2 linked regions of the Nothobranchius furzeri genome follow. The protein of the gene in region 1 purifies or fractionates together with the protein of each later gene. This does not show direct contact. Links are inferred from orthologs where the notes say so. Each region holds a gene or a part of one and is shown on either strand. Other genes may lie near its edges. The genes, in order: nod2 and xiap.

The links.
Region 2: the proteins of nod2 (region 1) and xiap purify together in Homo sapiens (affinity purification with western blotting; 3 studies listed by BioGRID and IntAct, with this or other methods). This does not show direct contact. The link is inferred for Nothobranchius furzeri from reciprocal best matches to the Homo sapiens genes NOD2 and XIAP.

The regions. Positions count from the first base shown.
Region 1 is NC_091749.1:70,956,246-70,960,706, forward strand, and holds the start of nod2 (nucleotide-binding oligomerization domain-containing protein 2), read left to right. Parts: upstream 1-1,500; 5' UTR 1,501-1,636; coding exon 1,637-2,113; intron 2,114-3,155; coding exon 3,156-3,282; intron 3,283-4,461. UniProt on the Homo sapiens protein: Pattern recognition receptor (PRR) that detects bacterial peptidoglycan fragments and other danger signals and plays an important role in gastrointestinal immunity.
Region 2 is NC_091741.1:25,549,408-25,553,679, forward strand, and holds the start of xiap (E3 ubiquitin-protein ligase XIAP), read left to right. Parts: upstream 1-1,199; 5' UTR 1,200-1,358; intron 1,359-2,503; 5' UTR 2,504-2,553; coding exon 2,554-2,793; intron 2,794-2,879; coding exon 2,880-3,405; intron 3,406-3,507; coding exon 3,508-3,607; intron 3,608-3,696; coding exon 3,697-3,775; intron 3,776-4,082; coding exon 4,083-4,122; intron 4,123-4,272.

The sequences.
Region 1 (4,461 bases):
TGGGCTACCGTAGTTGGAAACATGGCATCTAATATGGCATTGCAGAGAGAGAGACTTAGACCCGCTCCCATGTATTTTAGACCTGCATCATTTGATTCACTTTCAACAACAGTTTGATGGATATTTCCAGAAATTAAAGGTAAAAACTACACATTGTCTCTTTAAGATCCTCCTTCTCACATATAAAGCTCTCAATAATCAAGCTCCATCATACATCAGTAACCTGATTGTTCCATATGTTCCTAACACGGGCAACAACCTAATGGAGCGACGGTGGCACAGGAGTTAAGTGCTTGCTCTGTAAATGGAAGGTTGCAGGTTCGAGCCCCGCTCAGTCTGTCGCGGTCGTTGTCTCCTTGGGCAAGACACTTAACCCACCTTGCCTGCTGGTGGTGTTCGGAGGGACCGGTGGCGCCTACGTACAACAGACTCACCTCTGTCAGTGCGCCCCAGGGCAGCTGTGGCTACAATGTAGCTCATCAACACCAGTGTGTGAATGTGTGTGTGAATGGGTGAATAACTGATTGTGTTTTAAAGCACCTTGGGGGGTTCCAGGAATCTAGAAGGTGCTATATCAAATACAGGCCATTTACTATAACAGAGCACTTATATTTTTAATTAAAATATAGCTTTTAAAGGAAATATTGTATCTTCATTCTGCACACCTCTAAACGCCCCGTGGAGGTATTATTAAAACAATGTATAGCTTTTTATGAAATTGCTCCATATTCAACCTTTAATGTACAAACTACTCAAATAAATAAAATAACATAAAAATACAAGTAAAAAACAATTGAGTAAAAAAATAAAGCTAGTGAAAAACTGAGTAAATGTTTGACCACAACGGCTGATTTAATTTATCCACTTTTTAAATCAGATAAATACATGTTTTAAATGATATGTTAACTTATTATTAGATAGTTTTAGGGGCAAAATTGAAGATAAGTAAAATGTAATAACCGCACTTTAAGATGACAAATGAGCCCACAGGGGCGTAGATTTGGCATCCAGCGATGACCAAATTCTCCCCACCATTAGTCTGACTGCCAACGTTAAAAAAAACCAACAAGCCAGAGGAGCAGAAAGGGTTAAAGGACCTACCTCTGTGTTGCACATGGCCAGGATGAGATGTAGGTTTATCAAGTCCCCACAAGCAGATGAGCTCGAGCCTCCTGGTTTGGTTTTTGTTGTGGAACACCGCCATCTAGTGGCTCCAACACCAAGTTACAAGTGGTTTAGATCTGTGTTTTACTTTTGATTTCCCTGAAACACATTAGTGTTGGTTTGTTTAAACATTTTAAACAATATCCTGTCAAATCAAATTCATGAGGATGCTTAAGCTTTATGGTAGTTCAGCCATTGTTTACTTTCTGCTCCACTGGAGCTGCTTGGCAAACAGACCAGGTTTCGGTTTTTAGACGAGGAATGAGGAAGAGGTGGTTGAACGGTCCTTTTGGGTTGATGAGGGCTGGAGAGAAGGCAGTCAGTCGCTTTGTGTTTACAGGTGAGAGCGAGTCTTCTAGTCTGTTGAAGGGGGACACTAGAGGAAATCTGATTTCTGTGCTTTCCTGATGGACTGGTTGGTACCAGATGTGAAGCTGAAGGATTGAAGCATGGGAGCTGATAAGACTGAAGCATGCTTGCTCAGGAGCTGCTGCTGAAACAGCGTTCAGAGGTTCTCCACGCCCTCTGCAGGAGCGGCTCAGCTGAGCACCTGGAAAGGGTTCTGGACGTGCTGCTGGCTCAGGGGGAGCTGGGATGGGAGGACTACCAGAGCATTCAAGTCCCGGGGAGGGCCCTGCACACCAACGCCAGGCAGCTGCTCGACCTGCTTTATACAAAAGGTGAGGAAGCCTGCAGAATCTTCTTCGCTGCTGTCAATCAGGTCTTTCCAGAAGGCCAAAGAGTTGGCCTGTCCTCAGGATGTCCCCCACCTTTAGAGGACAGAGTTCAGAAGACGTCTGCAGAGACAGTTCTAATACAACGGCTGAGTTTGGTCTGCAAGCTTCAGGACTGTGTGGATGGTGCTCTGGAAGCTCTCCTGGAATCAGGTCACTTTTCCTCAGAGGAACGAGATGAGGTCCTGCTGCCTGTTCACACCCCGTCTCAACAGGTAAAAAAGGCATTTGTAAACACATCTCCTCCATTTTGTGCTCTTTTGTCACTTACTGTTTTTGATTGACGGAGGTAGCTGGTGCAGAATACGGTTTCCAAGACGACTGGATTCATATAAGTAGGACATATCGTAATATGACTAAACTCACCTTTGTGCCACCACCTATAAACACTCCAAACCTGAAAGTGCCCGTCCATCTGTCGGGGTTTGGCTTCAGGGAGTATTTGCGAAATATAAACGGTTTGAAAAAGTCCCTGTTTGTGATGTCATAATAAGGGAATCGCTGATTGACGCAGACATCAAAGGTCAAATGTCCATCAGCAGGATACCAGAGAACCAAATTCATGATTCCATCAGTTACAACCAGTCGTCAAGAATCCCCAAAAGGGTTTAAATGTTGTTCTGGGTTCTTATGTTCTTGGATTTCTAGAACAGGTCATGATGTTGGCTTTTTGAGATCTTTTAGCCTTCTTTGTGGTGTCAGGCAGCTTCTTTTGAAGGGATTTGAAAACTTGTTTTGTGAAACATAGTTTCACCCTTATGTCATCATGTCCTTATTTGGGCTGTACCAACTTCCTGTTTAGTCCACTCTAAGATGCTAGTTTGGAGCTTTAGAGCTCTGCGTGGACGAGAACGTCCACATCTCCAGCAGGTCCCTGGGGTTGTTCCATCTGGGTCTGATGGAAATTAGGGTTCTCCCTCTGATCCTGAGCCTGTGGCTTCTTTTTAACATTCATTCTGACCCGTTTTTTTTAGGTATGAAGTGATTTATCTGGAAAGCTTTGGTGTAAAAAGCCATAAACCCGCAGACGGGTCAGACATGTGACTGAAGGATAGAGGAGATTTTAGTACAGCGACTGCTAAATTAGGGTTTTACTTCTGCACATCACCTCGTTTCCTCCACAGCTTCCTGTCTGAAGCTCTAATCGGGTGCGCCGAGCCGTTTCCTGTGCAGTTATCTCCTCTAAAATGTGAATTTAAAAAGTGGAACTGCTGCTTTCGGCCTCGGGTAAATTTGTTCTCGTTCAAACCCAACCAGGCCCGGCGTTTGCTCGATCACGTCGGATCCAAAGGGGAGTCTGCGGCGTCAGCTCTTCTTCAGTTCATCCAGCGAAGACAGGAATCTGGATCCCAGCAGAACCAGAGGGAACTGGAAATCCCTAAAGGTATCGTGTCTTCCGGGTCAAAAGTCTGCCAGTCCACCTCAGCACCAAAATACTCTAAAACTATTAAAGGTATTGGTCCACCAGACCGATATGTTGGTTGATTTGTCCATTGATTCATATTTTATTTATTCTGAAGTGTAGAAATGTACAAATATTAGCTAAAGAGGTTCCTGAACAGCCTCAGTGGGGAGAAATAGGGTTACATGGTGGCACAGGAGTTAAGTGCTCGCCCCGTAATCGGAAGGTTGCAGGTTCGAGTCCCGCTCAGTCTGTCGCTGTCGTTGTGTCCTTGGGCAAGACACTTAACCCACGTTGCCTGCTGGTGGTGGTCGGAGGGACTGGTGGCGCCAGTGCTCGGCAGCCTCGCCTCTGTCAGTGCGCCCCAGGGCAGCTGTGGCTACATTGTAGCTCATCCCCACCAGTGTGTGAATGTGTGTGTGAATGGGTGAATGACTGATTGTGTTGTAAAGCGCCTTGGGGGGTTCCAGGACTCTAGAAGGCGCTATATCAAATACGGGCCATTTACCATTTACCATTTACATCCTACAGCTCTGGTTCTCAGGACCTCGTTGTTCAATGAGTTTGGAAATTAAGGATGATCCAGAACTTTGGTAAACAGGAAAATTATTTTTATTATAATTGATATAATTGATAATTGATAAAGGCTAAATTTAAATATTAATAATAATGCATTGAACTTAAATAGCTCTTTTCTAGACACCCAAAGACGCTTTCACACACTCTCACATTCACACACTGCTAGTGATGGTAAGCTACTTGTAGCCACAGCCGCCCTGGGGAGGTCTGACAGAGGCGAGGCTGCCATTTGGCGCCGTCGGCCCCTCTGACCACCACTAACACAGGCATGTTGGGTGAAGTGTCTTGCCCAAGGACACAACAGCAGGATTCCCCTGGCGGGAGCTGGAATCGAACCCACGACCCTCCGATCATGAGGCAACCCGCTCTACCACCTGAGCTACAGCTGCCCCAAATATTAGCTATTGACTAGTAGAACAGTCCAAGTAGTTGTGTTTTAGTGTTTGACCTATTTAGTCATTGAACCAGATATTTGGGCCCAGAAGTCTTAGGTTCTGCATGAAATGGTTAATTTAACAGAAATATGAATGAATTCCTGCCAGACTGCTGGGTGCGCCAGACCGGCGACGTTTGAAGCCGCTG
Region 2 (4,272 bases), on another chromosome or scaffold:
AATGAAAAAGGCATAAGTGCAGAACTTGAGTAACCCTTTCCAATCAAGCATGATTTATTGTCTTTGGGCTAGTTTTTGAGCAACAGGCGTTCTGAATTTAAGCATTAGATGTTGGCATGCCTGACAATGAAAAATGTTCTTTCCACACAACTCTGACCTGTAAGGTCCAAACCTAAAGACAAAACATGCCATTTTCACACAGATTACCCCTTTTCAAAGCAGCCGTATGCAAACCAACTCTAAAATCAGCTGGTTCACACCTGTCGGAAAAAGTGGACTGATCATACCTAACATCATAATAATGATGATTCAACAAAAACCTGACTGGAGTGGGTTTTAGAATACCAAGTGATCGTTTATGAAGTTATTGTTATACCACAGGTAGTTTCTGAGTAAAGTTACAGCTAAGCTAAACTTGATGAGGCACATTCAAACTATGCTGTTTATGTTTTCTTAGAAAATATGTATCTGTGAAGATGATCATAACATAACAGAGATAGAAAATGTATCTTCTCCATTCTAAATTATAAGAATACCTGTGAACCCCCACCCCCTAAAAAAATCCCTAACGATTTACTGGAAATGCATGGGGCAGACCAATGCTCGTGTTTTATTTGACTACTACGGCAACTTTTAGTTTGAATCAAAAAGTTGACATGCATAATCACCAATATGGAAAATTATCTCAGGTTGATATATGACTGTTAAAGAGTATAGTTATTTTATGTATCCCATTAGCTTTCACTGGCATTTATTTCTGTTGGTGACAGATGCAGGTTGTATTATCAGTCCCTACCCTGTGCCTTGAGTTTCTCTGCTCCAACACCAGGTCCATCGGTTGAATCACCTCTTCAGCAGCTCTGTAACCTTTCAATTACTTGCTGATACAATCAGGTGAGAGAGCAGATAAACCTCAGATAAACATGGAGGCCCTCAAAACAAGAGATGACCGCCACTGTCCTAACAATCCTGATTAAAAATGGTCACTAATATTGTAGGTATAAGATTATGACCTTCAGACATTGTTTGAGGTGCATGATGGGATTACATTAAAATTTTAAATGAACGCTTTTTGCTGGTTACTGACCATATTTAGGCAACCCTAAAGTATGTTGGCAGTTGATAGTAGACGGCATGTTTCTGTGAAACACCCACGTGGGCGTACTTTGATCATGTGACTGAAGAGGCGGGGCCAAATGTTCTAGGTTCCCAGATTCCTCCCTTTGCTTTCGCTTCCTCATAGTTTTTATAAAACAAACTGAGCTCTTTAATCATCCTATTCTGCTCCAGGTCAAGTTCACACTAAAGACAGACTAAAGTTACAAGCTGAAGACCGGAACCAAAAGGGGCGCGTGAAGGTAAATACCGTAGTTTTCCGGCTACGGTCGATTTAGGCAACTGCGCAAATTAGCAAACAAGCTAACGAAGCTAGCTAACTGACACTTTAGCAAACTGTCAAAACCCAAAGTCACTATCTCGACATTACGCACCTACATCAAAGCAGCTGATGTGTTTATTTTTAGAATGCAGGCTTATTGAAATGCGTGTCCTTGAATAATATAGGCTAGTTTTTAGCTTTTGGTAACTCGAGCATCCACGTTTAAGCAAGGGTCACCAGCATAGAGAGCTACTTCATGTGTACTGAGCCACATTAAGGGCTACCAGGATTCTACAGTTCTGACATTTGAACTGGAATAGATCAGAGTTAAACCAAACTTCATTTATAATAAATATATTTTATTTATTTGGAAGGATTTGTAGTTTTAAAATCAATATTGATGCATTTGTAATTAAAAAAGAAGGCTGCAGATTTGTATTTCGTTTTAGATATTTGCCATTTAAAGAAGTGGCTTTATATTATGCCAGGAGGCACCATGGTGCAGTATCGTAAATTGTGCATGTTTGTCATACGGTTAAACACACATTAAGTTGTGACACACTCGTGATCATGGTGACTACTTTTTTTTTTTATAAAGATTGCCAACAACAGTGCAAAGATCAAAAGCTGATCCTCATCAATAAAGCATCTCAGATAAAATCATACTAGATGTTACAGTTTTAGGACTAAGCCTCCACCATGTAGTGGGCTTTCTGAGTATTTGGGTTGTGAGAACACATTTTCCATGTGCCAGTGTAGAGGTGGCAAAACTATTCCCCCCATCCTGCTTTCTTAGCTGGCGTGCTTTGATCTTGGGTCATTAGCCCGTGTACAGCATGTACTGTGACTCCTTATTACAGCAAATACTTTATCAGTGTTTGTCACTGTTGTGTATAATCTATTTAGGAATGCTGCTTTAGTGTAGATTGTATCAGGTTACGCCCTTTGCACCGCCTTTCCTGTTCCCATGCCTCACACAGAGTATCCAGCACCAGCATGTGATTATAGCCTGGCTGCCTCTCCCAAAGGCTTAGCCTGGATGCTCAAACCAGCTCCCTGTTGTTTTAATTCAAGTACATTTAGGACTTTTGACTAACCTTCAAATCTGCTTGTCTTTCTCCTCAGACTTCATACATTCAGTAGCTGTATCTATCCAGGAAGGTCCTAGTTCAATTATGTGTGATAATGAAGAAAATGAGCATCTGGAATCAGATGGTGCTATGGATTTTTCATTGCTCAACAATCGCCTGAACTCCTTCCGCCGCTCCATCCTGGCTGAGCAAGTTCCAGCTGAACGACTGGCACGAGCAGGCTTCTACTTCACCGGCAACGCAGACCGCGTCCGCTGTTTCAGCTGCAAGAAGACTGTGGAGAACTGGACCAGCGATGACACGCCTGTGGAGCGGCACAAGGAGGTAGATCATGGATTCAAAGTGTTGAACGATTGTGACTTTTTGTTCTGCTTTAGAGGTTTAAATAATGATCTCTCTTCCTGGTACAGGTTTCTCCAACGTGCTTGTTTCTCAAATGCTGCCACCGAACCAGTTTCAACCCGAGCTTTCATAACCCGCTCACTAATGGCTACAACGAGGCTGCAGAACACATGGAGTATCGTTTGTTAACTGGAGCCGTGACTGACGACACCATGTACCCTAAAGCCCCTCAGATGGCGTCTGAGGAAGCCCGCCTTCAGACCTTTTCCTCGTGGCCCGTTGATTCTCTTATGAGACCCAGAGACCTGGCACAAGCTGGTTTCTTTTATTTGATGAATGCTGACCGAGTGCGGTGTTTCTGTTGTGGTGGCGAGCTGAGTGACTGGGAACCAGAAGACAATGCTTGGAGTGAACATTCCAAACATTATCCAAACTGCTTCTTCATACTTGGGCATGATGTGGGGAATGTGCCGCTTCAGGAGAGCAGTTCTCAGGTCTCCATGGAGAGTTTTGAGGGGAGACTTGGCAGCTTTGCTGGTCTCCAGCTCCCTGTTGACCACAAGAGTCTCGCCACGGCGGGCTTCTACAGCTTAGGTACAGCGCCATCGTCATCTGTGGACAAAACTCATACAAAAATGAGTCACTGTTATATCGTTGTTCTGATTTTGTTTTGACACATCTGATTTGTGCTTACAGGAATGGGAGATAGGGTGATGTGTTTCAGTTGTGGTGGGAGTTTGAAAGGTTGGCAGCCTGGGGAAGACCCCTGGGAACAACACGCCAAATACTACCCAGGGTTAGAGGAAACATCTGTCTTTTCTTGGCAATAAAAATTCATTATGGAGACATTTTTATTTATGCTGCTGTAACTTTCTTCCCCATTAGATGCAGCTTCTTGTTGGCAGAAAAAGGAGTAGAATTTGTCAACAGCATCCAACTAAATGGACCCAAACAAAGTAGAGCTGTAAGCAATCTCCTTCTTTTTTTCTTGCTATTGTGATTATATGACAAACCATAGCTTGTAACTTTACCTGTCAATCTGATTCCCAAGTCCCTTTATTTATAAAAAATAAACAATGAAAAGGTTTGAATCAGCTGGAATTGTGTTTTAAATCATTTTACTTGTATTTGGTGTGTTTTAGTGAACTTTATGGAACATAAGGAACCAAATGTACTTCTCTTTAGGTCTCGGAAAATGACTGTGATGCCCTGAATCATTAGTAAATTTGGTTTGTTCAAGCTGGAAAATAATAACCTGTTTTTGCTTCCAGGTCTCAAATCCTCAGAATGGGCTTTTGGGCGCTGAAAATGGTAAATATATATTTTGATACAGTGTCTCTTATTATAAAATACAAAAAAAAAGCTTTATTAAGCTGTTTTTATCTAAATATATCAAACCAGGCTAGTGTAACTGGATACAGGTTTTTGTGTAACAGAAAATCCTCGCCGCCTGTTTTGCGA